Linked DNA regions of Sus scrofa. The protein of the gene in region 5 interacts with the protein of the main gene of each other region in a pairwise test. Links are inferred from orthologs where the notes say so. Each region holds a gene or a part of one and is shown on either strand. Other genes may lie near its edges. The genes, in order: STX11, PIN1, RPL9, PBLD, CCDC184 and GPANK1.

The links.
Region 1: the proteins of CCDC184 (region 5) and STX11 interact in binary tests that used the Homo sapiens proteins (3 or more experiments, as listed by UniProt). The two-hybrid records come from large-scale screens. The link is inferred for Sus scrofa from reciprocal best matches to the Homo sapiens genes CCDC184 and STX11.
Region 2: the proteins of CCDC184 (region 5) and PIN1 interact in binary tests that used the Homo sapiens proteins (3 or more experiments, as listed by UniProt). The two-hybrid records come from large-scale screens. The link is inferred for Sus scrofa from reciprocal best matches to the Homo sapiens genes CCDC184 and PIN1.
Region 3: the proteins of CCDC184 (region 5) and RPL9 interact in binary tests that used the Homo sapiens proteins (3 or more experiments, as listed by UniProt). The two-hybrid records come from large-scale screens. The link is inferred for Sus scrofa from reciprocal best matches to the Homo sapiens genes CCDC184 and RPL9.
Region 4: the proteins of CCDC184 (region 5) and PBLD interact in binary tests that used the Homo sapiens proteins (3 or more experiments, as listed by UniProt). The two-hybrid records come from large-scale screens. The link is inferred for Sus scrofa from reciprocal best matches to the Homo sapiens genes CCDC184 and PBLD.
Region 6: the proteins of CCDC184 (region 5) and GPANK1 interact in binary tests that used the Homo sapiens proteins (3 or more experiments, as listed by UniProt). The two-hybrid records come from large-scale screens. The link is inferred for Sus scrofa from reciprocal best matches to the Homo sapiens genes CCDC184 and GPANK1.

What each region holds. Positions count from the first base shown.
Region 1 is NC_010443.5:21,127,121-21,130,473, reverse strand, and holds the end of STX11 (syntaxin-11), read left to right. Parts: intron 1-593; coding exon 594-1,462; 3' UTR 1,463-2,603; downstream 2,604-3,353. UniProt on the Homo sapiens protein: SNARE that acts to regulate protein transport between late endosomes and the trans-Golgi network.
Region 2 is NC_010444.4:68,714,292-68,719,175, reverse strand, and holds the start of PIN1 (peptidyl-prolyl cis-trans isomerase NIMA-interacting 1), read right to left. Parts: upstream 3,279-4,884; 5' UTR 3,224-3,278; coding exon 3,166-3,223; intron 642-3,165; coding exon 429-641; intron 1-428. UniProt on the Homo sapiens protein: Peptidyl-prolyl cis/trans isomerase (PPIase) that binds to and isomerizes specific phosphorylated Ser/Thr-Pro (pSer/Thr-Pro) motifs.
Region 3 is NC_010450.4:30,696,017-30,701,189, forward strand, and holds the start of RPL9 (60S ribosomal protein L9), read right to left. Parts: upstream 3,174-5,173; 5' UTR 3,151-3,173; exon of another isoform or gene 3,085-3,150; intron 2,702-3,084; 5' UTR 2,701-2,701; coding exon 2,655-2,700; intron 2,565-2,654; coding exon 2,449-2,564; intron 1,461-2,448; coding exon 1,365-1,460; intron 108-1,364; exon of another isoform or gene 1-107. Other genes in the region: LIAS (lipoyl synthase, mitochondrial), read left to right, coding at 3,432-3,542, 4,428-4,600.
Region 4 is NC_010456.5:71,442,258-71,446,634, forward strand, and holds the end of PBLD (phenazine biosynthesis-like domain-containing protein), read right to left. Parts: intron 3,648-4,377; coding exon 3,585-3,647; intron 1,565-3,584; coding exon 1,452-1,564; 3' UTR 593-1,451; downstream 1-592.
Region 5 is NC_010447.5:78,559,178-78,564,263, reverse strand, and holds CCDC184 (coiled-coil domain-containing protein 184), read right to left. Parts: upstream 3,093-5,086; 5' UTR 2,565-3,092; coding exon 1,977-2,564; 3' UTR 751-1,976; downstream 1-750.
Region 6 is NC_010449.5:23,777,134-23,782,199, forward strand, and holds the start of GPANK1 (G patch domain and ankyrin repeat-containing protein 1), read right to left. Parts: upstream 3,214-5,066; 5' UTR 2,688-3,213; exon of another isoform or gene 2,275-2,687; intron 2,198-2,274; exon of another isoform or gene 2,195-2,197; 5' UTR 2,106-2,194; coding exon 1,501-2,105; intron 608-1,500; coding exon 163-607; 3' UTR 1-162.

The DNA.
Region 1 (3,353 bases), on a different chromosome or scaffold from region 5:
ATATTTATTAAATTTTTAAGAGGAAAAATAAACCATGATTTATATCATTTTTAAAAGAACTGTTTTGATGCATAGAACTGAGGATGTACCAGATCAAGGACTGGTGCTGAAATAGACACAGAATAGATAGATAACACTTAGAGTTGGCCCCAAAGCCTTGTAAATTGGCTGTCCATATTCAACAATCATTATCTTTGCCAGTCTTCTCTTCTTATTTTTCCTTTCGCTGATGTGTTTTGATTTGCGATTATGAAGCATGTAAAGGAAGAAAAAGAGTTGGGTTCCCAAAGCACTCTAAAATTTGAAATTGCTGATTGTATTCTGGGCACCTCTACTATTGAACTGCAGATTCCTACCTACCAGCTGTAAAATACAAATGTGTTCATGACTCTTAGTCACATTAGTCCTTTATACTCATAAGAAAAATGTCATGGGACATTTAACTCCTTTACCGCGTTTATTACCTATACCCAAGAGTAAAGAATCTGGAGTGCTAAGCAGTAAGCAGAATGTTTATTTTAATCTTCAATTCCCTCAACGCAAAATATTTGACTCTCCCTAGAGGAATTTAACCTCAGTATCTCTACTTGCAGGCAAAATGAAGGACCGGCTAGTAGAACTTTTGGAGTTAACCAAGCACTATGACCAGCAGTTCCCAGAAAAGGACGATGACTTTGACTCACCTCACGAGGACATCGTGTTTGAGACGGACCACATCCTGGAATCCTTGTACCGAGACATCCAGGAGCTTCAGGATGAAAACCAGCAGCTGTTTACTGACGTGAAGCGGCTGGGAAAGCAGAACGCCCGCTTCCTCACGTCCATGCGGCGTCTCAGCAGCATCAAGCGTGACACCAACTCGATTGCCAAGGACATCAAGGCCCGGGGTGAGAGCATCCACCGCAAGCTGAGCGCCATGAAGGCGCTGAGCGAGGAGGCGCAGGCAAAGCACGGTGAGCACTCGGCTGTGGCGCGCATCGCGCAGGCGCAGTACAGCGCGCTCGCCCGCACCTTCCAGGCTGCCATGCACGAGTACAACCAGGCCGAGATGAAGCAGCGCGAAAACTGTAAGATCCGCATCCAGCGCCAGCTGGAGATCATGGGCAAGGATGTCTCGAGCAACCAGATAGAGGACATGTTCGAACAAGGCAAATGGGACGTGTTCTCCGAGAACCTGCTGGCTGATGTGAAGGGCGCGCGGGCGGCCCTCAATGAGATCGAGAACCGCCACCGCGAGATGCTGCGGCTGGAGAGCCGCATCCGCGACCTGCATGACCTCTTCCTGCAGATGGCCATGCTGGTGGAGCAGCAGGCTGACACCTTGGACGTCATCGAGTTCAACGTGCAGAAGACCCTTGACTACACCGGCCAGGCCAAGGTGCAGGTGCGCAAGGCGGTGCAGTACAAAAAGAAGAATCCCTGCCGGACCATCTGCTGCTTCTGCTGCCCCTGCCTGAACTAGCAGGCCTGCAACACCTGATCCCAGACCTGAAAGGGCTAGTAAGCACCCTGGGAAAGATGTTGAGGCCATTTGCACTGGGATGAGTTGCTCTAATGCCTATGGACCTCGCTCTTTAGAGAAAGAAAACACTCAAGGTCCAAGAATTCCAGCCCAGCTCGAACTTGGAAAGAGGGTACATGTCACCCCATTGTTTCTTCAGTAAGGACAGATACCTCCTGAAATTTTGTGAGATCATTATATGGCACATAAACACCCTCGCCTCTTAACGGAAGCCAAATGAGGAACTGACATTGTAGTGTACTCTACGGTAAATGTCCAAGGCACGTTTGCTCATGAACCTCTAGGAGGAAGTCAAATTGTGCATCAGCCCATTGTGTAAGGACTGGTTATTAAAACTTCAATTCATTTACCCTGTCCTGAAAGTACCTTGGTTCTATTCATTTTCGAGTGAAATTGACCTTGGGAAAAACTGCACATCTTCCTTTTCTTACTCTTTATCTGGTTTATGCTATGTGATTCCCACATGGATGTGTATCTTCTTTCTGCTCACCTCCTCTACTTGTTTAAATCACAAGTATCACTGTTTCCTCAACTCTTTATATTCTATCAGAATATATTTGGAGATTTTTTTCCAAATGTTTTTAAGCACTGAGTATTGAACAAGCACTCAAATTAAAGTTTGTATGTCACATTATATATATTTTTCATAAATAAAAATAATTTAAAATTTCTTTTTACTTGATTTTTACAAATGCATATATATATAAATGTAAAGTACAAATATTTACTAATGCATGTACATAATACCAATTGGTTTAACTTTACTTTTGTAAATATGGTATATAAATATCCAGGAAAATATTTTTACTGGTTATTAGTGTTGATTTGCTTGTTTCATCTGCATCTCAGTAGTCCAGTTTGGGTCAAAACTTGGTTTTGAACATCTCTGTCTTGGTTATGGTGATAAAGACAGATAAAATTCTGAAAATGCATACAAAACTAGAGATAATAAAAATGGTCTTAAAAGTAATTACTTTTGTTTTACTGTGGCCCATTCCTTTCATGCATTCAAATGTGGTAATTTAAAATAAAAGAATCCTGTTTTTCAAGTTAGTGGAATAAACACATTATAAACATCCTTTTTTATGCATTTGTGTCTTGACCATTTAAATCTTAGTCTACTTTTTCAATTATTGTCTACTAGCTGCCTGAGGTTGCAACATCTGGATGAAACTCTGAATAGAGGGGGGAAATGAAAATTAATTCACATGGGGGTGTGTTGCTTTCTCTCCTGAGTTATTTACAATAGTTTAACAAAATCATCCTGTTTTGGAGATCTGGTTTTGTTTGCAAACTTTGTAATGCCCTGACTCACATTTACCATGTTTTCTGTCTTTAAGTCAACTCTTAACTCTTTCCACTCGCTATTTAATAAACGAGAGTTTATTCAATGGTCGTTATTCCCAGAGTTTTCAGACAGTGAAACTTTAATAGAAATAGAAAGAAGAGTATGTGAACTCTTTGGAACTCACTGACTAGCCTGCTTATGACTGTGAAATCTAGCCCTGCTCCTAATTTTAATTTCATGGTTAAATATGAGAATTGTGGAAACCAAGTCCCACTAGGCTTTTCTCAGATTTCTCTCATTTCTTTCTCAGCTAATTCCAGAGATGTGTTTCACCTTTGACTTAATTCCCTTTCTCTAAAAAAAAATCTTCAAACAGATTCATTGCTCTGTCTTTGATAAGAGGCAAGAGATTTTGTAAATATAGTCCATCAGCTAGTTTCCACAAAAGAGAATAGTTGATGAATTCAACCCATAAAGCATTTTCTGCATTTAGAGCCATTCATAAAAGTCAAAGAGTTTGCTGGCTCTGTGTATTTTTTAATT
Region 2 (4,884 bases), on a different chromosome or scaffold from region 5:
CTGAGGAGCCACCACCGTCCCCCCACCTCCCCTCCATGCTCTGTCTCACCTCACTGAATTTTCACAATGTCCCCTGGAGTATATGATGATGCCCATTTTACAGAAGTGAAAACTGAGCCTCAAGAAAGTGCTCTGAATCTCCCAAAGTCAAGAAGCTTACTGGGGTATAGCTACCATCTGAACCCAGGTCTGCTAGCCCCAAGGCTGGGTCCACCCCCCACCTACCCTGACTCACCATCAATTACCTGCTGGACAGGAAAAGAAGGGGCAGCCATGTGAGCCAGACTCATGCCATGAGCAGGCATTTTCAGGTCAGCCAAGGCCCCACCTGACAGCTGAGCTGGTGAGCCTGGCATGATTCCTACAAGGCCTGCTCTGGCCCCCGGGGGGAGAGGGACCCCCCCAGCCCTGTCTCCATCCCTGCTTACCGTTGATCAGCTCCAGAGCCTCCTCCTTAGTCCGGGTGATCTTCTCCTGCCGCCAGGATGAGGGCCGCCGGGACTGGCTGTGCTTGACCAGCAGATGCGAACAGCGGACCCTGGTGGGCTCTCCTTGTCCATTTTTGCTGCCGCCACTGCTGTTGCCACTTGGCCGCTCCCACTGGCTGGCATTAGTGATGTGATTGAAGTAGTACACCCGGCCTGGAAGAGGTGGAAGTGGAATTCAGCTGGGACCTGCTCACAGGACACCACTGGGAAGCCATGATCAGGGGCTGGCTGACGAACTACCTTTCATTCAGCAAGTCCCCAGTGCCACCAGGCCTTAGGGAGCTAGCATTCTAGCTGGGGACACAGACACCAAAGAAGCAAATGAGACCACCTTACAACTTCAGTCATTAATAAGGTCAAGGGGGGAGTGCAGGATTTTTGAGCACTAGCTAGTCTCAGACTACTTGTACTGCCTTACAATAAATGCTACACTTTCTTTCACCACCAAAAAAAAAAAAAAAAAAAAAAAAAGTTCAAGGGGGAAAATAACTGAAGGTTAGGAAGAGAGGAAGCCTCAGGGACAGAGAATGGTTCCAAGCATGCATTCAGCAAGGCCGGTCCAAATCTGTGGCTCCACCACACCCTCACATGTGATCTACCTTCCCGGGGCCGTGGTTTTCTCGCCTATAAAATGAAAATAAGGACAGTACCTGCCTGAAGGAGTGACTGTATGAATTCACATCTGCAAAGTACTTAGGACAGCACCTGGCACACTTAATTAAGAGTGTAGGAGGAGTTCCCGTCATAGCTCAGCGCTAATGAAGCAGACTAGCATCCATGAGAACTTGATCCCTGGCCTCGCTCAGTGGGTTAAGGATCCAGCGGTGCCGTGAGCTGTGGTGTAGGTCACAAATGTGGGTCAGATATAGCATTGCTGTGGCTGTGGCATAGGCTAGCAGCTGTAGCTCCAATTTGACCCCAAGCCAGGGAACTTCCATATGCCATGGGTATGGCCCTAAAAAGACAAAAAAAAAAAAAAAAAAAAAAGACTGTGGCAGCTACTAATATCTCCATGTTATAGACCACAAAACTAAGCAACCTTCCCTGGGTATTTACTCTGCTCCAGGCATAAAAGCCGGGGGTGGGGTGTGGTGGGGGAGATAGCAGGATCTGTACTCAGGTGTGCCAGATGCCAAAACTCTGCTCTTTTCCCCTCTGGAGTGCACTGTGCAGCAGAACTAGGGGCCAGCATTACTGGGGGCCAGATGTTACCCAGAGACTAAGGAGCATGGAGTGAGGGCTGCAAACAAGAAACCTGAGGCCACTCTCTGGCCTTTTGAGATAATATTCTGTCTAAAGAATGTGCATCTTCCAGGCTGCTCTCACCTTCTGAGACGGCCCACACTGTATCAATAAATCTACTTCTTATCTAAGGAAAAAAAAGAAAGAAACTTAAAGTAGGACCCAGTAGAGATAGGCTGTCATTCCAGGGGCCGAGTTTGTCTGGGTTATATGGAGGACTTCTGCCCAAGACCGTGAAGGGCTGGATGTCACCCAGGAGGAAGACTGTCAGGGTTGAGCTGAGCAGAAATGGCAGGAGTGGAGGCCCAGAACTGAGAAGAGCATCAGCTTTTTTGCTGCAGGTCCCAGCCACAGGGCTGCAAGCAGGGTGGGCCAGAGCTGAGCCAAACAATGCCTCTAAAACCTTGGCAATGGGTTCCATCTCCCTGAACCTGAGTGTACTCATCTGAAAAGTGAGGGCAAGGTGAGAGAATAAAGATATAACACTTCATGGGGTTAATGTGGAGAGTCCATCATGATGAGTGCAAAGTGCTCGACAGAGCTCCTGGCGTTCAATAAATTGGAATTATTACTGTGACCATGATGATTATGAGCTATGGAGGCAGGGGAGTGAAATGGTGGGCCTGCATCTCAGAGGTTTACAGTAACAAGGGCAGGGGGCTCTGGAGTTAGACTGGTATCTAACCCAGCCCCCAGCCCCTGAAATGAACGACTATGGGCGAGTTTCTTAAGTTTTCTGGCCTCGGTTTCCTCACCGGCAAACTGGGTGTTATTAACTACCCTACCTCTCAGAGTTGTGGCCAGAGTACACACTTAACACCCTTAGCACAATACTTGGCACTGAGATAAGACCTATTATTAACATTATTATGGGGGAAAAGCCCTAATCGGCTCCGAGCACAGAGACTATTCTCAGGCAGATAACCTGAATTCTCACATTATAGCAAACTCAGAATTCGGTGTGGATGGCAGGCACGTTAGCAGGAGGTTTAGGATTCGAAGCCAAGCAACACCCTGGGGCCACGCCCTGAGCATGGTGTTGGGGTGTCCTTCCCCAGGGGTGCCCCTTGGGCCCAGCAGGGTGCAAAGACATCCCCCCCCACCCCCGCCGGATGTCAGGTGCATTAGGCTGAAAGATGTCAGCAAGATCGGCAGGACCAAGGCCATTGCCTGGGGGAGCGCCGCGGGTACACTGTCCCCCTACCACCCAGGCAGCGCGCCGGGCCTCTCCGACCCAGTCCCTTGCCTCAATTTCCTCGGGTTCCCAGCTCCTCAGGCTCGCAGCCCCGGGGAGGGCCGGGGCCGTTACCCAGGGACAACGCGAAGGAGCCAAGACCCCACGGGAATCGAGCGGCCGCCCGCGTCCGAGGGACAAGCTAGAGCCCTGCTTCCATGGGCCCACACGGCCCCGCCCCAGCCCCGACCCCCGCTGCACCTGAGCTGCGGCTCATGCGCTTCTCCCAGCCGGGTGGCAGTTTCTCTTCGTCCGCCATCTTCCCTCCTGCGGCAGAGCCCGCTCCACCTCCGCCGCACCGCCTCTGCCGCCCGTGCCCGCCCACCACCGCCGCCGATTGGCTGGCCCCGTCACGCCCCGGGGCATGGCGACGACACTCATTGGGAACCCTAACTGTCCGGATTGACTCTCTGGCTTCCTATTGAGCAGAAGAAGGAATAGGCGGAGCTTCACATATTTCACCAGGGCTGGGCCTTCTTGAGGGCCTCACCCAAGCCCCGCCCTCCCCCTTTCCTCGGCCCCTAAGTGGTGGGAAAAGGACCTGAGCCCGCCTAATAACGCCCTTTGGCGAACTTCAAAGAAGTTTCGACCCCGCCTTTGCGTCCTTCGCTGCAGAGCCCATTCGATTGGCCAATGCCGCAGCAATTCCCGCCTTCTTAAGCCTACCCCCAGCCGGCGCCCCCACGTGGAAGTGCCTGGCTGGTGTGAGGGTAACCGCCGCAGAGGAGGTTCTTGGAAAAGGCACGCTGCCTTTGCTGTTACCATAGCAACCCAGTTACCTTGGTGATGAACAGCTAAGAACCCAGAAGCCTAAATTTGGCTTCTCCACCCTCCCTCTTCCCACCTGTTCCTTCCACATGCCCAAAGCTAGCCCACCTCCTTTTAGTTTTGTGTAAGTCTCTTTCCCTATGCTACTTACCTAGACACCTTCCACTTCCTTTAGAATCTACTTTACTTCACTTATTCCCTCACAGTCTGGCTCCTGTCTCCATCCTGGGTGACTGGTAGGTGTTGGCATTGCCATTCAGATGGGGACAAGGGGGAAGGTGCAGGTGGGAAGATGAGGAACTCAGTTTTGAGTCAGTTTAAACTTAAGTCTGGCACATGTGGGACACACCAAGGAGGTGGTTGGAGACCTAGGGCTGGAGACAAACATGGGAGTCAAAACACCAACAGGGAAGAGTTCACTTACAGTTCATCTATAGCACAGGCACTTACGTAACCGCTGAAAAGAATGAGGCTCAGTGACATGAAACGCAGAGGAACACGTCTATGACAAATTACAGAGGTAGGATGCTGTAGGTTAAGAGCATTCAGGAGTCAGATTGCTTTGGGTTCAAAGCCTAGCTCTACCATTTGCTATTACCTTGAACAAATTACTTAACCTCTGCACTTCAGCTTCTCCATCTGTGAAATGAGTTTAAGAGATAATACATATCGTAAATACCTTTGATATAAAGATTAAATGAGTTAATAATCTATATAAAGCACTCAAAAGCAGTATCTGGTCTTAGCAAGGATATATGCTGCTCAGTGGAAAAAAAAGTCATTGTACAGTGTAGCAATTATAGAATGTATGAAAGCATAACAAAACCAAAAAAAAAAAAATTCAGCAAATAAAGGTTAATTTGAAAGAATGACATCACTTACAGAAAGATATCAAAGCTTTAAAAAGGCCTTAAAAAGCAAGCTGCTGAACGGTATGAATGTTATTAGAGTATGCATACTTAGTTGTGTAAAAACTGCAGTTTTATATCACAGAAAATTTCTGGATTCATTCAAATATATTAATGACTAACTTAAGCTCTAATGTAACATTTTGATTCTTTTTTACAAGCACATATTAGCATAATAATAATATTCCTTTTTTTACAGATAATTTTAGACTTAGGGCAGAACTGTAAAAAACTGTTCAATGCC
Region 3 (5,173 bases), on a different chromosome or scaffold from region 5:
TTATTTAAGGTAAGGGATCAGGATCAGCCATTTCAGCACTCACTCAGTTTCCCTGGTTCTCTCCGTTGCATACACATTATTAAACTTTGATTTCTCTTCCTCACATAGCATTCGTTGTCTTTTTTTTTTTTTTTTTTTTTTGGTCTATTTTTGCTTTTTCTAGGGCTGCTCCCACGGCATATGGGGTTCCCAGGCTAGGGGTCTAATTGGAGCTGTAGCTGCCAGTCTATGCCAGAGCCACAGCAACACGAGATCTGAGCCGAGTCTGCAACCTACACTACAGCTCTTGGCAATGCCAGATCCTTAACCCACTGAGCAAGGCCAGGGATAGAACCCACAACCTCATGGTTAACCACTGAGCCACGACGGGAACTCCCATCATTGTCATTTTTTTAAACTATCACCCACACCAAAGCTTCACAGCAATTTTATTTATTTTTTGCTTTTTATGGCTGCACCTGCCAGTCTACACCACAGCCACAGCAACGCCAGATCCTTAACCCACTGAGCAAGGCCAGGGATAGAACCCACATCCTCATGGACACTAGTTCGGTCTGTAACTGCTGAATCACAAAGGGAACTCCCTCAGAACAATTTTAAATACATTTGTTTCTGTCTCCTCAATGGACTGCAAAGCTCCTAAGGAAGCAGATATTTTACTACCTCCTTTGCCCGTGGTGAACAATGCTAGCCTCCTATTAAAGTATAACTCTAAAGCCCTTCATCTTGGGCATTAGGCTAACATACTGAATTACTATGGTATGCCAGAGGGCCAGAATTGAGAATATCAAGACACCACCGCCGCCCCCCGCAAACAAAGACTGGAAACACAAGGGGAGACATGGCCTGAAAGGCTTATAATGGAGTTGCGTACAGGGTGCCGCTATCAGATTGCGCTCTAGAAAGGCTGAAACAGAAACACTCCAGCAAATATCCAGAATCAACTTTACCTTAAAGACTGAAAGCTCAGAAATAAGACTTAATCTTTCCCTAATTCCCACAAGATACCCTGGTGGTGAGAGGCATAAGACAAGAAACCAACCATTCTATGTGTTAACATTTTCTATTAAAAACCCCCCTGAAATTGTGAATGTTATCTTTCGGGTAAAACAAATATATATATAATCAGCGTATTATCAAGACCATCTGGTCTAGACTTATGTATCTCCCTTTATCATAAGACCCAGGAATACCTAACACATTTGCCAAGATCACCTTTTCCAAAATACTACAGCCGCTAAGTTATATGCAAGTATAAGTTACTCGCACAAAGTATTTTCTACAATAGACATTTATGTTGCATACATAAAGATAGCTGACAAACCTCCCCCTTCTAAGACAAGAAGTCTGATTAATCTGCTTACCAGTGTAACACCCTTGATCATATTCTGTACATGACTACAGATGGTGCGAACAGTTGCCAGTTCCTTTCTATTTCCCCACCATTTGTCAACCCGGAGCTGTAACAGAACAAAAACTTCAGAAAATTCTTTCCAGTATTAAGTAGCCTTGAAATAAGGTCCATTTATCCACAGTAATTACTCTAGATTCTAGTATTTGTCCTAATTACAAAAAAAAAAAGCAACCACAAAGCCCTCAGCAATTAACGGTTTTTGTTACTATACATTAGAAGTATACACTTTCACAGAGGAACAACCCAGAAAGTTTTGTACAAGTTGCATCAAACTTCACTTCTGGAAAGCTAAAATACCAGGTTCAAAAGAACTCTGCTGCACCACTATGATCCTTACAAAACAATCAAGAAAAATAAACCCAATTTCTAACAGTATTAAGGCCTGCTATTTAATAAATATTACCAGTACTGAGGTTTATAACCCAGTTTACTTTGGTTTTCCAATTTCACTAAAGCACCGACAACAAAAAAAAAAACTAGTTACAATTTTGGACACTAAATTATAAGATAAAACATTGAACCTCAATTCCATAATTTCTCAAAAGTTTTTATTTCTTCTATTATGGTTGACTTACAACATTCCATCAACTTCTGCTTTAAAGTCACTCATTCATACATATAAATATTCATTCCTTTTCTCACATTATCCTCCTTCATGTTCCATCACAAGTGACTGTAGTTCCCTATGCTGTACAGCAGGATCTCATTGCTTATCCACTCCAAATGCAATGTTTGCATCTACTAACCCCAAACTCCCAGTCCATCCCACTCCCTCCGCCTAGACTAGAACAGACTAGAACCAATAGTCTGTTCCCCAAGTCCAAGAGTTTCTTTTCTGTAGGTAAATTCTTTGGTGCTGTTAGACTCCAGAGAAAAAATTATCCATCAAATGGTATGTCTTTCTCTAACGTACCTCACTTGGTATGAGTCTCTATTCCATCCATGTTGCTGCTCAATTCTGTAGTTTTTAAAACAACTTGATATTCTTAAATTACAACTTTCCAAACAAACTGAGGTGATTAAACAAAACTCACCCTCTTCTTTTTCTTTCCAAGGAGACTGAGTTCTACATTGATGTGGTTGAAGTCCCTCCTCAGAGTGCCTCTGGGGCCCTTCACAATGACTGTGCGTCCTTTTAGTGTGATGTCGACTATGAAAGAAACATACTCGTGAGGCATCGAAACAAATTAGAACGCACGCAGTAAAAACATATGAAAAAAGCAAGCACCAAGTCTCCTACCATTTTCTGGAATGTCGACAGTCTGATTGCTGAGAATGGTCTTCATTCTGAAACACAAACACTTGGGTAAGAAGGTCGCACAGGATTTGTTTTGGGCCGAACTACCTTGCACAGAACTCCACTCCTACCAGAGACCGGCAGGCAAAAATCTCGGGGAGGATACAGAGGACTAATCCCGGAAACGGCCCCAGCTGCGCCTTGGCTTGGAAGGAGCAGCTCCTAAACAGTTATTAAAAACCCAGCGGGCGAACTCCCGGTCAGCGCAGCTCTGGGAAGTCCTATCAAGTCGGCGCCATCCCGGCAAGGCTGAAGGGCGGCAGTAGGCCTAAAAGCCCAATACAAGGCTCGAACCCCATCGCCACCAGACTCATATGACGCTCGCCGCGCAGGGAGACAAACAAGACACGGTTTCCGAGGGCCACACCCGCACCTCTGGCTTTCCCAAAGCCGATGCCTTCAGATTCCCAAGGCCCACCGAATACAGAATCCACCTTACCTCGCAGTAGATGCGGCAAAGAGAGAGCGTCTTTCGTCATCACGCTTTTGTAGTACGTAAGGGTCCTGCGTATGGCGTCATAAGCGCGCGACACCACGAGGCTAAAGCAGCCAATCGTAGAGCAGCGCAGGTTCCACCGGGTCAGTGTTGGCTCAGGTTGTTTGTCATAAGTGGAGCGACGGTGTGTCCTTCTCTTTTCCCGGGAATTAGTGATTGTTCCTCCCTGCCAGAAAAAAAAAGTGCAGGATGGCTCTACGCTGCCGGGGCGCCGTCCGCACTGTATGCCCCCGGGTGAGCGGCGGGGCGAAAAGGGAGCGGGCGTGGGGTGGGGGTTCCCATCCCTGAAAGTGCCCGATAATGCCAGCGCTTACCCGGCGTTTACTTCTAGCCAGGTACTGTTCTAAACATTTTTCGTATAGCGTCTCATTTAATTCTGACATGGTCATGAAGTTAAGACCTGATACTGGTTTTTTTGTAAGTCTGTGGCCCGCGCTCTGAGACCTTTTTTCCTGCTATCAATGCAATGATTTGTACTCTTGTATTTATTGGAGCACTATAGAAGCGCTGCAATGAAACTCCAAATTACTACTTGGTGTTGGTGTCTCCTGTGTACTAGACACCACTTTGGGCGATTAAAACCCAAGTCTGTGCTCCAGGCTTGAGCGAGAGACCTGGGCAAGTACAGTAGCTATCGTGCAGCATCCTAATAGGCACTCTTTTTTTTTTTTTTTTTTTTTTTTAATAGTTGAAGGTTCTTTTGCTTTAACAGTACTACCTCTTGAATTTTATGGTGTTTTGTCTGTCTTGTACATGTATGTGTTCAAATCTAGAAACCGATGGCTTCTTATGGTCAACAAATACATGAGTGACTTCCTTGTTCACACACAGTATAACCAAGAAAATTAAAACATTAGGTTTAGTTTCCCTTCTTCCACTTCTCTGAAATCAGCTGAGAACTACCTCCGTGTTTTAGCAGGTATTCTTATTCAAGCCCAAAGCAGAGAGATTAATTTCAAATTTCATTTAAACATACTTGACTCAAGTCAGGAATAGAAAATTCAAAGCTGTAGCTCCCATTCTCCTTTGGGTTTGGTTTGTTCTCCTTGGGTCATCTTTAATTTCAGATTCTGAGCTCCTTACATTGAGCTCGTAAATAGATTAACATAATTTCTGAATCAGTTCTGTGGCTTTACCCATCCTTTTAGGTATTAAACGAGTTTAATACTAAGTTATTCCAAAGCCCCCTAAATAAATGTCACAATGAACTCTTTCTGTAGGTATTTGGAAGATATTTATGCAGTCCAGTCAGAGCAATAAGTTCCTTGCCAGATAAAAAAAAGGAATTTTTACAGAATGGACCAGACCTTCAAGATTTTCTATCTGGTGATCTTGCAGACAAGAGCACCTGGGATGACTATAAAGGAAACCTAAAACGCCAGAAAGGAGAAAGGTAATTGAAATTTTGAGGTAATTTTAATGTCCTATTCCTTCATTGTGCATTATTTTCTGATATTACCAAGCCATAGGGTATATTTTTAATCAGACTTATTTGATTTAAAATTATTTAAAAACCATTAGAAAGAAGTGAAAGCAGACATGGAGCAGGTAAATGGGTGAAATTGTTGGAGTACTTTTCTTCGTGCCCTCTGACAGTTTTTCTCCAACATTCTTAGGACTTAGCCATCCTACACCCTCTCCAATTTGCCATCTAGCAACCAGTTTCTTCTGAGAGCAAAGATAATCACCTTGCTACTACTCCATTAGATTTTAATAAGTTTTTCGTTGTTACAGGACGTTGATGATCTAGCTTGTTGCTTCTCCTAGTCAGTGTACATGTGATCTATGGATAATTTAAAAGAATGGTGAGAAAGTTTGTGATGAAGCAGGTTAAGTTGCAGAAATTGCAGCAAGGGTTCAGTCCCTGATCTGGGAACTTTCACATGCAATGGGTGCATCCAAAAGTAAATAAATAAATGAATGAGGCATGATTTATCCAAAAAAGGTATGAATGAAAATTCTAGGA
Region 4 (4,377 bases), on a different chromosome or scaffold from region 5:
TAGAACCTATCTACTTTCAAGATGCAGAAACTCTATACAGCAGAAATTGACAGAACATTGTAAATCGACTATAATAGAAAAAATAAATAAATAAATAAATAAATAAATAAAAAGGTGTAGAAACTCTAGACTAAACCCAGGCATGCCTTGAGCCCTCATGTCTGAAGTCTCACCCACGCCCCAGTCTTTTGAAGCCCTGTCTTTAGCAACCCCCTGAGTGTGCCATAGCACCCCAGTGTCTGCTGTACGTACGCCTGAACCACAGATGGGTGCAAGTGCTCATTATCTTTTCATGAAAGGAGGAGCCTGGTTCCCCAGTTAGAGCTCCTTGAGGGCCCTATAAGCTCGCTCCCTCTCTAATCTCCTTTGCAGCCTGCCCCTGCCAGCTCTCCACCCTTCCAGCTTTCAGCACCGTGTCTTCTACACAGGAGGCAGCAAATTGCTTTTTACCAACCATGTCAGACTACTGAGCAGCAGATCTGACCCACAGGCTGGGAGTTCAATCCCAGCTGGGCACCTAGCTTTCAGAATCCTTGGGAGCGACAGCAAGGGGGATTCCCACCCTGAAAAGAACTTGAGAAGAGGCAAGTTATTACTTTCCATGTTTAGCTTTACTACTACTCTAATACACATATAGTTTTTCATTTTCTTGGCTTTTTATTTATTTAGTTACATCTTGATTTTTATTTATTAAACATGAGTGTGTTCCCAGTAAAGGAAATGATTTTTTAAATACCTTAAAATTACTTCCAATCTTACCCCCCAGATACACATGAACTCTTTTCACTTTTGTATCTTCATGTTCCATCCTCGCCCATAGAAATTCATATCCTCCACAGACACAGCATAACGTTGCTAACATTTAATAGTCTACCGTAGTTTTCTTTCTTGGTATTATACCATGAAATATTTTTCTATATTTCCACATAGTTTTGGGATGTTTTTCTTTTTTGGACACGCCCAAGGCATGTGGAAGTTGCCAGGCCAGGGATCGAACTCATGCCACAGCAGTGAATCAAGTCACAGCAGAAACAATGCTGGGTCTTTAACCCACTAGGCCACCAGTCCTAAGGGACCTTTTTAAAAATAGGCTGCAAAATAGTCTATCAAGTATTCACACCTAAGCTTAAATGGTTCGATCTTGTTCCTCATATATTTGTTCCTCATTCCAGGAGGGGTGATCATAAGCAAAGGTGACGATATTATTCTTGGGTACTGGGTACAATATTATTCTTGGTTACTGGGTACTTACATTTCAAATACACTCACAAGTAGAGCCAAACTCCATTAGTTAATCATTCAGGAAGCATTATTAAATCTCCATTAACATGTCTTCATCATTCTCTTTGCAATGTGGATTAACTAGACTACCATGCAAGCTTGCTTAAGGCAGCCCCTTAAGCTGAAAATACTTAGTAATTTAAGATAGCAATATCACAGCACAACCACCTCTAGGCTGTCAGCGTGCCCTCTAAAACCAGAGCAGCGCCTCCCTTGATGTCCACTCGTCCATCAGGACGCAGTGAAATCTTCAGTTCTCCTCCCCGGCTGGAACACTGAAAAGCTAAAAAAAAAAAAAAACATAAAATGATTCACAAATTAAGACTGTTTTCACCTTTTACTTTTTTTGCCACACCCGTGGCACATGGAAGTTTCCAGGATCAAACAGGCACCACGGATGTTCCGATTATGGTTCCGCGGTAATGAACCTGACTAGTATCCATGAGGATGCAGGTTCGACCCCTGGCCTCACTCAGCAGGTTAAGAAGCCAGCATTGTTGTGAGCTGCTATGGAGGCTGCAGACGCGGATTGGGTCTGGCGTTGCTGTGGCTGTGGCGTAAGCTGGCAGCTGCAGTTCCAGTTAGACCTTTAGCCTGGGAGCCTTCATATGTTGCAGGCACAGCTGTTAAAAAGCAAACAAAAACCAAATAAATCAACAAGCCAAACAGAAATACATAGATACAGAGAACAGAGAGTGGTTACCAGAGGGGAAGGGGCAAGGAAGGGCAGGGGGATCAAAATGGATAAAGGGGATCAACTGTACAGTAAAGGTCTGATAATAGATTTTTGGTGGTGAGCATATTGTAGGGTAGACAAAAGCAGAAATACAATCTACACATAAAACATAAAATCAATGTTATCTCAATAAAAATCAATTCATTAAAAAAATTTTTTAAAGAATGTACCCCTTCATTTGCTCATGGTATTGCCTAGCCCATCCTGTTTTGAGGACTGAGAAGCCACACATGAGATTTGATCAGCAAAATACAACTCCACATCTTCCCTCCCTGGGCCACTTCTTCTATAAGTTTCTATAATGCCCCAAACACACCCCACCCATAGTTTCCTCCTTGGCTCTGCCTAGCAATAAGCAAAGACATGTGAAAAGATAAAGGCTAGGACTAAAAGTCTCAGAAGATAAAGGGGGGTGCTCTTGGCGCTACAGAGAGGACCCCATCTTCCCAGGTCTGAATAGGACAAAGGGAGTTCATTCACTCATGGTTGTTATCAAACAACCACATGGGTGAGGCAAACATAATGCACAGCTTCAGCCTTCTGGGAGCTTAGGGGAGTGATAAGGCTCATTAAAGAAAGAGAACAGCCAGAGTTCCTGCTATGGCTCAGTGGAAAGGAATCTGACTAGCATCCATGAGGACATAGGTTCAATCCCTGGCCTCACTCAGTGAGTTAAGGATCTGGCATTGGTGTAGGTCACAGATGCAGCTCGGACATCCTATTGCTGTGGCTGTGGCATAGGCCATCGGCTACAGCCCCTATTCGAACCCTAGCCTGGGAACCTCCATATGCAAAGGGTTCAGCCCTAAAAAGACAAAGAAAGGAAGGAAGGAAGGAAGAAAGGAAGAAAACAGCCACCCTGCTATCCCCAAATCAGGGTCACAGAGGCTTAACCAGCCCACTAAGTAAGACCCCCATTCTTTAAGGTCAAACTCCCACTTTGATTATGTAACTTGTACCACATACAGGCTACTAGCTGTGTAGCCACCATTGGCTGCCATCTATTTTCTCTGCCTTGAATGATACATTAATCACTAGGAGACTTGGTTCCAAAGCAATTTGCTTGATTTAATCCCATAACTACCAATGTCAGTAAGGAACCTTGGTAATCATTCAGTCTCGGCTTGTCACATTATAAACAGTCTTTCTGGGAGTTCCTTGGTGGCTCAGTGGGTTAAGGATCTGGTGTTTTCACTGCTATGGCTTGGGTTTGATCCCTGGCCCAGGAACTTCTGCATGCCTCGGGCACTGCCAAATAAATAAATAAACAAATAACCTTTCCGGGCCAAAATTACACAGCCAGTTAACCTTATTCAACAAATATTTATTGGGCACTTACTGTATTAGAAGTGTGTCTGTGTGTTGGGAGAGACAGAGGTGGAAGATGTTTGGGGTGGAGGATGTTTTGAGTAGAAGGTTCAGAGTGAAGGAATTAAAAACTTTTTGCTTTCATGTGGGTGATAGTTAATATTTTATTACATCTTCAAGTGCGCAGTACATATGAGAAGGAATACTAGCTTAAAGTTAAGCAAAAAATTTTTTTTAATTTGAAAAAGAGCTATCTTACCATGCATGTCTTTCTTCCCCAGGTGCTGGGACCAGTAGCTGCTGAGAACAGTATGCGCAGACCCTTAAAAGAAGTGAAAAGTTATAGTACAATCCCAAAGAAAACAGGGGTAACCTTGTGGTATATTCACAATCAACCAACTCTCCAGCTTGACCGCAGACGACTTAGCCATTATGTTGGCTGTGACCACAAAAGAGTGTGGAATTATGAATGGAAATAGAAAGGAAGAAAGAATTTGTGGATAAGCTCCTTCCAAAGATGTATCCGCTGTGTCTAATACCTTCTGAAGACTGAATTAAATTGCAGGTTTTCATTCTTGTCTGGTCTGCCAGTTCATTGTCAGCCCATAGTAGGAGACTCAAGGTCTTCACATAAATCCGTCTGCATCTTTCAAGAGAAAATATCTCCTTCCTCCTAAGACACACATGCAAGGAAAGCTAGGGAACTTTGACAAAAGGCCAATTTTTCCACCAAGCCCACATTCCAGGTTTTTGGTGCCAAAAGAAATTTAAGTGAGGTTTTTTTTTTTTTTTTTTCACTTGATTCCTCATGATTTCTAGGTTTAGATCAGAGAATAGATATTAAAATGAAATAAAATAGAAAGTAATAACTGACGGGAAAGTCTTTGGGAGAGAAAAGGATGGTTCAGATAAAGTCCATCCTTCAGGAAAACTTACTAAATGTTCTTGGTGCCCAAGCATCCCAGTGTGCCTGAGACAGTCCTGGGTTAACCCTGAAGATCCATCCTATGTGCTAAGCCCCTCAGTCTCAAGAAAACTGAGATGGTTGGTCA
Region 5 (5,086 bases):
GCAAGAGACCAAGTCTCAAGCAGTCATTTACTGCTGGAACTGAGATTCAGTCCCAGAGCTCTTTCCATCTCTCTGTAGCAAGCAGCAGGAAGAACACACACACACACACACACACACACACACGCACGCACGCACGCACGCACGCACGTGCGGCACCCCAGCTCATTCTTCTCCCAAATTTTGTTCAGGGAAGTCTTCGGAAATCTCCAATGCCCAAGGGAGCAGACTAGAGTTGATGTCACTATAAGCTCCGGGGAACACCTTACCGGCATTCTCCACTAGAGGCCTGAGGCAGTTATTGTGTTTCCTTTGTGATGTGTCACTATTGCCAGAGATCCCAGGGCAATCCCTCATGAGCAATCCCCCTCCCTAGCCCTCCCATGGAACAGATGTCTGCCTACCATTGCAGGTCTCAGATTTGGAAATCATATCCCAGAGGCCAAGTGCTTCACTGAAGAGAAGTCAACTGAATGTCTGGAGTCTAGCTACTAAAAATCCTTGTTAGTTTGGGAGTCTCAAAACATACCCTCTCCCTCTTCAGTCCAGCTTGAAGTCAAGGTCCAGGATGGAAGGGAAAGCAGGTAGAGTTGGCAATGCATATACCGACCAGGGTAAGGACAGTCAACTCCTTGGAACCCGAGGCGAGAATAGAGGAGGGAAAGCCTGGTTCCTATAGTTCCCACTAAGTCTTTGTCCATGCAGTGGGTCCAGAAGCCCCACCCTGACATTGCCTTAGTACCAGTCAGCAAGGAGGGGAGATGACGCCTCTTTATTCAGGTTAACACCAAGGAAAGCATCGAGAAGGAATACACAGAGGAGGAGGAAGGGCACACAAAGTCACCACTTGAGGAGGTGGGAGGGAGGCGCATCAGTTAGGAACCTCAGGACAGCCACATGCTCCATGCCCTGGTTGTGGAGGAAAAGAGGAGAGGAAAGGGGACAGCGCCATGAGAGCCTGGGGCTCACAGAAGGGTCTGAAGCCCCCTGAACCTAACACCAGAGCCACAAGCCCTGCCCCTCAGGGCTCACACACTACTACACAGGTCGACACACATAACACACACAAGACATTATGGAGGTAACACCGAGAGGCGGCGGGCAGGGACGTATTGACAGGAAAAGGAACTGAAGTTAAGCGGGTATAGCCAGGAGAGAGACAGTTTTTGGCTGCAGCCCCCAAGAGTCCCTCAAATGTCCCCTAAATCTGGGCTGTTGCTGAGCACCCTCAAGTCTGTGCCTGTGAACTGGGCTCTTTGTTCTCTAAGCCCCAGTGAATGGATAAAACAATCCCAGATGAAGTCAGTGACAAGGCAGGATCCGCTCTGCATGCAAAATCCTAGATGTTGAGCTATTATGTCTTCATGTACATTCATAGCCAGCTCCTCCCAGCCCAGGGGCCCTTGGAACCCCATTCACCCAGTTTCCTAGGGCTGCAGTTCCCTCCTCAAGCTTCCTTTACCAATCAGCAGCCGCAGAGATCTGTGAGGGGGAGAGGCTTCTGCAGAACGCTGAATAGCTTGGATTTCATCAGAAGGGTAAATTTTCTGTTGCCAGAACAGAATACCCTCAATTCCTTAACTTCTAGGTAAATCGTTAGAGATTATTTGCCATAGTCCTAGATAAGTCCTTTTTCAGAATAGAAAAGCAGAATTTTATTTACACAGTTCAGGGGTTCTCCTGTTGGCTGGGGAGGGGAAAAGGGCAGGGTAGGGGATTGGATGGGAGTCCAGAGATGGGCGCTTCCTCTCCCGGAATCTCACCTTTCCGCAGTTTGCTGCATCTCGCTTGGTTGGGCAGAAAGAATTCTTGATGCTCCCAAAGTCCTTTACCCTATAAATCCTTCCTCGAGGGAGTCTCTTCTGCTTGACCAACAAGAGCAGCGTGAAGCATGTTGCACCGCGCCGTTCAGTCCCCTCACGTCATGCACTCGGAAACCCAAAGCCAGTCCGGGAAAATAGAGCCCCCTCGGAGTCCCCTCACAGAGAGGCCTCGGCCTCCAGCTGCAGCAGGGTAATGTCGGGCAGATCGAGGGGCTCCACAAGTGGCCCGTCCCCCCCAAGGTGGCCAGCACAGGGGCTCTCGGGGCGCTCACAGTGACTAGTGGGTGTGGCGGAGCTGGGCATCTCCTTCTCCTCTTCATCGTCGTCCTCCTCGTCTTCAGGATCGCGACCCAGCAAACCGCTGTCCCCGATCCCAAGCGAAGGGGTCTCCCGCTCTTGGGGGGCGCCGGGGAAGCTCCCCTTGCCGCCGACCACGCCCAGGCCACCCTGGCGGGGCGCGGTGGTCATAATCCGGCACATGGAGACGATGGCTCGCTGGTTGGCGCACACGTCGTCCGAGAGCACCTGGATGTGCGAGGCCTGCTCGTCCAGGGCCCCCCGCATGGCCCTCACGTCCTCAAACAGGGCCTGCAGCTGGGCTTTCAGGTGCTCCATCAGTTCCTTCATGCCGCCGTTGTACTCCCCGGAGATCACGTCCCCCACCGCCGGCACGGTGGACACCTCCAGAGGTGCGGGCATGTCTCCGCCGTCCTTGGTCATGATCTCCAGCAGACCGTCCTCCATTGAATGGCAGAAGCGGGTGATGGCTGCTCCGGGTCCGGTCCAGCCCGGCCTCGGGGTGGGGGAGGGTACGGGGAGGGGGAGAGGTGCCCAGAGGGCGGGGAGGAGCCGAGGAAAGAGGAGACTCTTGAGAGGGGCGGGGAGCCGACGTGAGGAGGTGAGTCCCGGGCAGAGGGCACAGGCAGGATCGGGGCAGGCCGGGAAGAGCCGGCGGGACGCGGACCCGGTTACAGTCCCAGGGCCGGCGTCTCTCCGGCTCGCACAGGGGCGAACGCTCCCTGCCCTGCCTCGCCTCCCGAATTGCACCCGAATCAGCGCCGCCCTCTGGGCGCTAAGGACGGCAAGTAGTCGCCCTTTCCCGGGGTCACAGAAGCGCCTGTGGTGGGACCCAGGTCGAGGCCGAGGCCAGCAAAGGGTCGAGCTCGGGACTCCCCCCAGTCATAACCAGCTGGCTCGCGAGTGTGGTTGGAGTGACGGGGCGGGTCTCCCAGCCGCGCCACGGATGCTCCTCTGTTTCCAAGGCGACGCACGGCACGTAAATGACGTGTGTCTCCATGGCAACCAGGAAGTGGAAAAGAAAAGGGAGGATGGCTGGGAAGCTGCAGTGGGGCTCTAGAGTCTCAGCTAGCGGGTGGGGGCGGGTAGGGTGGGGATGCTGCAGAGGCTTCAGCTGAGGCTGAAAGAGCGTGTGGCCGCAGTGTTTAATAGGGAAGCATGAGAGAGCAGTTTGCTGCCTAAGTCCCCAGGTCGGGGGAGACGTAGTCCCTCTCCTGGCCTGGGTGGTAGACACTGAGCGCTACTGCCTTGGAAGGATTTTCACTCGCCCGCAATCTTTTCTCTGAGGATGGCGCTAGAGCCAGGTCTGCTTCTTTGTCCTCCAGCAGGAAAACAGAGAGGATAGTGAGGCCGATGCTATTAATCCCAGACTTGAGTTGGAGCGCTGCGCCGCTTTGGAGCCGGCCCCGCCAGCCTTAGCGGTGCGGAGGCGCAGGCTGTCACTACAGAGGTTTCCGCCACTTCGTTTTGTTTCTGCAATAAATCAGCCCTCGCCGTAGATAGTTCAGGAGCTGAGAAAAGATGGGATTCCCTCCCATATGAGACCCAGCCGCTTCTACCCAGGGCACTGGGAGTTCTAGGGTGGTGAGGCAAAGCGCTTCAGTTTTGAGAAAGACAGCTGCGTTAAGAGCAGAGATTTCTGTCTCCTCTGTGTCCTCTAGCACGGAATCCCCAGCACCTAAAATAGTACCTGGGGCGTAGTAAATAATGCTCAATATGTTTGTTGAATGAATACTTTACAAGAACTGCTGTGTACCATACCTTCATCCAGAACTCTCTAGCTCACAAGTAGTGGATTTTAGGAACCTGAGTGCAATTTCGTTTCTGTCATTTATTAATTCAGAGACCTTGAGTAAATCACTTTCCTGATCTGTTAGGGGATTGGACTGGGTATGGAGTAACATTATTGTATTGAGTAACATCATTGAGTTACTCATAATATTGAGTAACATTATTTCTAACTCTGAGTAACACTTTGCATCAGCTTACAGATGAAAGTGTGAACTGTTGACAATGTGTGGAAGGGATGAATGAGGGGACTATGTACCCTTAATTCCTTCTCAGCAGGCCCTGCACCCATGTACAGACATGCACTGAGTGTCTCAACCTTTGTAACAATGCATTGCCCTTTTTGAAGAGTGGAGTGGGAAGCAGGGAGGAGGAAGAACAATTAAATTTAATACATTTACAGATGACTTCGACTGAGAAGACAACAGCACCTGGGCAGCAGCATACTAACTAATAATGACCTCAGTACATTGGAAAAGCCAAGTGGTCAGAAACCAAAATGAAATTCACAAGAAATAAACCTGGAGAAGAGAAAAGCTGTATCACTTCAAGATGGGGAAGAGCTAGGTATGGGTAAGTGTTTCATATACTAGTGGTTCAGTGATAGCAAATGTGTTACCTTTGTTGCATTCTCTGGTGATGAGGAGTGGGGCTGGCCCAGAGAAACTGTAAAGAGCTGTTTAGCTTATTCCATGTCTTACTGCTATTAAAATGGGGAAATATCCTAAACAGCAGAATGTTTAATCTAAGGCATTATTGGTATAACAAAGTATTATGCAGCCATTAGAAATTCAACTTCTCAAAACAAATATTTTTTTGTTTTTAAACCTTCAGTATTTAAACCTTCAGTATTGCATTTTCTAAGATTCAATCCTATTTGCTTGCTCATTCTGTCCTTCCTTCATTCCACAAATTTGTGACTCTCACCTTAGTTATCACTCCCACCTCTACTGTGTGCCCCAATAAGTTATTCCTAAAGCTCAGAAGAAAACGGAAATGCGTTTCCTTGATTTCCCTAGGCACAGCTGAATTGAACTGGTATTCACAAAAAGACTTTACCCGAAAAAGAACAGTAGGAAAACTAGAAACAGAAAACACACACTCGCGCATACACACACACACACACACACACATACACACACACACAAAACAACTGAGCTTACACAGCCTAAGTTTCTGAT
Region 6 (5,066 bases), on a different chromosome or scaffold from region 5:
AAGCTTGATTTATTTCTCAACCTGTTTCCCAAGGGCAGAGCCCACTTATCAAACCTGAAGGCTTGTACCCTGGACAGACCCCAGGAAGTAGAAGCCCAAGTACCCAGTTCAGGGGCCCAAGTTCAGGTTTCAGCCGCAAACCAGGGTCAGACCTTGCTGAGGTCAGAATTCAAGATTCATGTATGTCCTCAGATCCCGCTCCCAGGCTCTGTCCTTCTCCTCCTGCCTTCTCTTCTCCTTCTGGTTCAGTGTGGTCAATCTAGGGACTCTCTCCCTCCCTGCCACCGCCCGTGTATCCCAAGCTGAGAAATGTGTAACTCGGGGTTGGGCTGCTGATCTATAGCCTAATCCTTCCTGGTCCCTTTTGAGGACAGTGGGGATGGGGTTGGCACGGCCTTGACCTTGGGGTCCCAGTCCCTTTCCAGGCTCCCAACCCCCCCTTAGGAGAAGCTTAAAGCCTGGGCTGGAGGTAGGCACCCCAAGGGGCAGGTTGGGGGGCTGGAGATCCCGGGACAGTGAGAGCAGGTGAGCGGTGGATGTACGGTGGTTAGAGTCTTGGAAGTGGGCATCACAGGTCTCACAGTACTGGGGGGAGAGGGATCGGGGCCTGCAAAGAAAAAAGAATGGTTAAGGGCAACACAAGGATTGAGGCCTCAGGAGGGTGGCAGGGTTAGGTCCTTCCTGTATTTCTGCTGAGGAACAAATTGCCTTCCTCCCCACTTCATGATAAGAGACCCAAAAGGGAATAGTTGAGCCAACAGATGTTAAAAAGGCTTCACAAAGTTCTTGGGTGATGAAAAATAACAATAGTGACCATAGCTAGTGTTGGTATAGTGCTTAGTATGGGACAGGTGCTTTTCTAGCACTTTACATATATTAACCTATTTGACCCTAACAACCCTAAGAGAAAGGTGCTTTTATTGCTCCATTTCTTAGATGAGGAAACTGAGGCACATGGGTTAGGTTGCTTGCCCACGTAAGTACAGTCAGGATTTAAACCCAAGGAGCCCATGCAATGTGGGAATATAGCAAATATACGTGAACTATACTTCAATTAAAAAACTTAAAATTTTTTTTGTCTTTTTTAGGGCCACACCTGCGGCATGTGGAAGTCCCCAGACTAGGGGCCAAATCAGAGCTGTAGCTGCTGGCCTATGCTACAACCACAGCCATGTGAGATCCGAGCCTCATGTGAGATCTACACCACACGACAATGCCAAGATCTTAACCCACTGAGGTCAGGGACTGAACCCTCGTCCTCATGGATACTAGTTGGGTTTGTTACCACTGAGCCGCAATGGGAACTACCCCAATTTTTTTTTTAATGAAAAAAATGTTTTATATAAAAAATAATCCAAGGGAGTATCCTGTTCATAATCACACTGCCCGATCAGCCTACATTAGGGAACAGGAAAGTAAACCCTTTGGCTCTATTCTGTGGCCTCCTGTGTGAAGTGTGAGGAAGGGCAGAACACAATGAAAGATAAGGCTTCCCCTTACCGGTTCTCTGGACTCCTTGTCTCTCCGGGGCTCTCTCTGACCATGCGGGCCACTTCAGGGAAGCCTGCTTCTTCCGCCAGCTGAGCAGCATCCCTGCCACCCAGCTCGCAGACCCCCACCCAGGCCGCCCCACGGCCCAGGAGATAGCGCACAGCTGCCCCCTGGCCTGCTCGGGCAGCACACATCAGTGGGGTCCACCAGAAAGCATCTCGAGCGTTGATATTCCCTCCAGCTCCCCCTGCCTCATGGGGATCCAACAGCTTTTTCAGTTTTGCCAGGTCCCCCTCCTGGGCTGCCCTCAGTATCTGCTGGGTCATCTTGTCCTCTGCCTCAAGGGATCTCCTTTGTCCATCTTCTCCTGATGCTCCTGCTGTAGTCTCCCTCATCGTTCGTCTTTTCTTCCTCTTTCTAGCAGGCTCAGGCTGAGATCTCTGGGGCTCAGGGGTGCTGTCCTCGTCCCCAATCAAAGCTTCATAGAAAGCCCGGGCTGCAGCCCCATCCAGGGTGGGCTCCAGCTCTTCAGGGTGTGACTGCAGTTGCCCATCTTTCCAGAGATCACTGGGGTCAGTGGCTGGGGTAAAGTTAATGAGGGAGGACCCGGACATGGCTTTGGGGAGAGTTGGGAAAATGAGATTAGGCAGGGGGAAGCCAAGTCCCAGATGGTCCTGCAATGACCAGAATCACCTACAGACACCTGCTGGGATAAAAACAAGTATCCTTAGAATCAAAAATCCCCTCCCGGGAGTTCCCTTCGTGGCTCAGTGGTTAACAAACCTGATTAGATTCGATCCCTGGCCTCAGATCAGTGGGTTAAGGATCCGGCGTTGCTGTGAGCTGTGGTGTAGGTTGCAGACACGGCTGGATCCTGCGTTGCTGTGGCTGTGGTGTAGGCCAGCAGCTGTAGCTCCAATTCCATTTCTAGCCTGGGAGCCTCCATATGCCACCGGTGCAGCCCTAAAGACAAAAACAAACAAAAACCCTCCTACGCGGAAAGTGAACCCCGAGGACCACGGATTGTGTAAAAATAGGAAACCCTATGGTAACAGACCATGCCCCTTAGTAAAGGTTAACAAAGTAGACTCTGTAAGACAGTTGCCCAGAAGTCCTGTGCTCTGCCCCCACTCCATCCTCACCATCAATAATAACAGCCTTTCTCTGAAACTACTTTACAACTGCGCGGGACATACCATTAAGGAAAACAATCAGCCTGGCTCTTTAAATCTTCCTGGATCCTATTTCGGGGTATTCTTAAACAAAAACAGACTTGACATTTGTCCGGAAGCAGGAAGCCGATTCGCGGGGAGGTTCCACTCGTTGCTTTGCAGCTTCCGTACTGCAAAATGGCGCTACTCTAAGCAAAGGCGTCCACAGTCAAAGCCGCATGCGCAGCTGAATGGGGAGCGGGCGGGGGACAAACAAAAACAATACTGGAGCACGCAGGCGCGCTGCTCCGGGCTATTTCCCGCCCTGGAATCTTTCCAATAACACAAGCGCAAAACGCCACGTGCCCTGGTAGCGCGAGGATCGAGAAATATCTGTCGGTTGGGGTCCTGCTTTTACCTAACGCCCCCACAATGCTCTTCGCCTCCCTCAACGTGGCCCCCGCTCCAAGCTCATTTTCTGGACCTGGGAAACCACCCTCTGGGTTAAGAAAGGCCCTGAGGCGGAGAATGCCCAGAAGCCGTGAAATGAAATAGTCACGCAGCCCCTCACCATTAATCTGACCAGGGTTGGAAGGTCGCACTTAGCACCCGCAGCAGAAGGCCCTGTTCAAGCCTTAAAAGGAAATGGAGAAGTGCAAGGGGACGAGCAACAGAATGGCTGGCGCCACCTCAGGTTAGCGCACGGGACCTTCCCGATTCTCACACCTCTCAGCTCAGCCAGCACACCCTACCCAGGTCCCTCAGCGCGGAACCCGGCCTCACCTCCCACCTCAGGAGATCAAACCCTTGAGTGAAATATGGGCCCCGTTGAGGGTCTCCTTGGCAGGCTGACTCGGACAGGGGGGCTCCACAAGCGATAAGGGCCAGGCAGCTGGTCGGTGATGAGGTCAATGGTCTGGGTAGCAGGGCCGCACGCCTGAGGCTCGTTGTGTGAGAGGGAGCGGCAGTAAATGATCCAGCCTGTCTTGTTCCTTTCCCCGCCCCCTCTCAGCCCCACGGTGATAAGATCACTCGACTATATTTCCCAGGCTCCCTGGCCCAGAACACGGTACTGCGTTTCCGCTTCCGGTGGCGGCTCCCTACGCCCCGCCCCGGAGCGTTTCCCTCAGGGGCCTCGCGACACCAGGGTCGTGGGCGGGTCGTCCTGGGATTCGTAGTTCGCCCTTTCTCAGTTGCGCCAGTTTCTAGCTTCCGAGGACTCCATCTCCCGGCGTTCACCGCGGCGCACGATTTTAAGCGCTTGCGCGTTGCCCTCTTCCCCACCCTCCCCAGTTTCCACTCCCCCCGCCCCACTTCGCCTGCCGCGGTTGGATCCGCGGCCTGCGTTGTAGCCGTCGCCGCGGTTCCTTGGAAGCAGAAACTCCCCTCCCCTCCCCGCCCCCCCGGTCCCAGTCCCCGTCCAGCCGGTGAGTCTGAGGTCGTTGCCGCGCCGCGTCCCCTGTTCCTGGGCGCGGCACAAGGGGTCTCCGTGCCTTGATGTGGGGGTGGGGAAGGAAGTGACCAGGTCCGGGACCGAAGGAAGGAGGGGGTGGTCTGAAGGATGGAGGCGGGATAAGGAGACTCCCGTGAAAGGGACCTAACTGCCATCCCCAGACTTTGAGAAAAAGAGGAGCTTAGCTCTTGCCTGGAAAGAAACTTCGGAAACCTTGGGAATGGGGCCGGGGACAAACGGAGACTTGCGGGGGTAGGGAATCTGAGCCGCAGGCCCTGCTGGAGTTGACATAGAGGAGAGAGGGGCCTGGCCTTGGGGAGCGTTAGGGATGTGGATAGGACTAATGGGTCAAGACCTGCCGGTTACACACAAGTGTTGGGACCCCAGAGAATTTCCTGTCTCTGAAAAAAGGGGTTGAGGTGTGAATAGGAGGAGCTGGAGAGAACTGCTCCAGTCTAGGATCCTTTAAGAAAGGGTGGCCCTAAATTCTTCTGTGGTTGGAGGGCAAAGTGTGGGAAGAGGGAGGATATCAGAGGCAGGGAGGAGAGCTTAGGCTGACACTCTTCTTTTTCTAGCTGAAGTGAAGATGAGCAGCTCAGAGGAGGTGTCCTGGATTTCCTGGTTCTGTGGGCTCCGTGGCAATGAATTCTTCTGTGAAGTGAGTTCTTAACCTCCTTGTCCCTTTCCACATATAATCTGGCCAGGCATTCTCTCGCATAGTATATATTCAGTTTCTAGATACTTGTTTTACAGTCTTCCGTAAAAACCCTTTCACGTTAAGAAAGAGTCTCCTTAGTAATTCTCTCACTAACTCATACTGAAGGCAAGACTGGGCCTCAGGTTGACCCTGCCACCCTCCAGCAATGTAATGTTGGACTCATCAACCCATGTTTTTATTACCACAGTGCTACCGGTAGCACCTGTTTCTGGTAGCTATTAGGAGAATTAAGACACCTCACGTTAAAATGTTT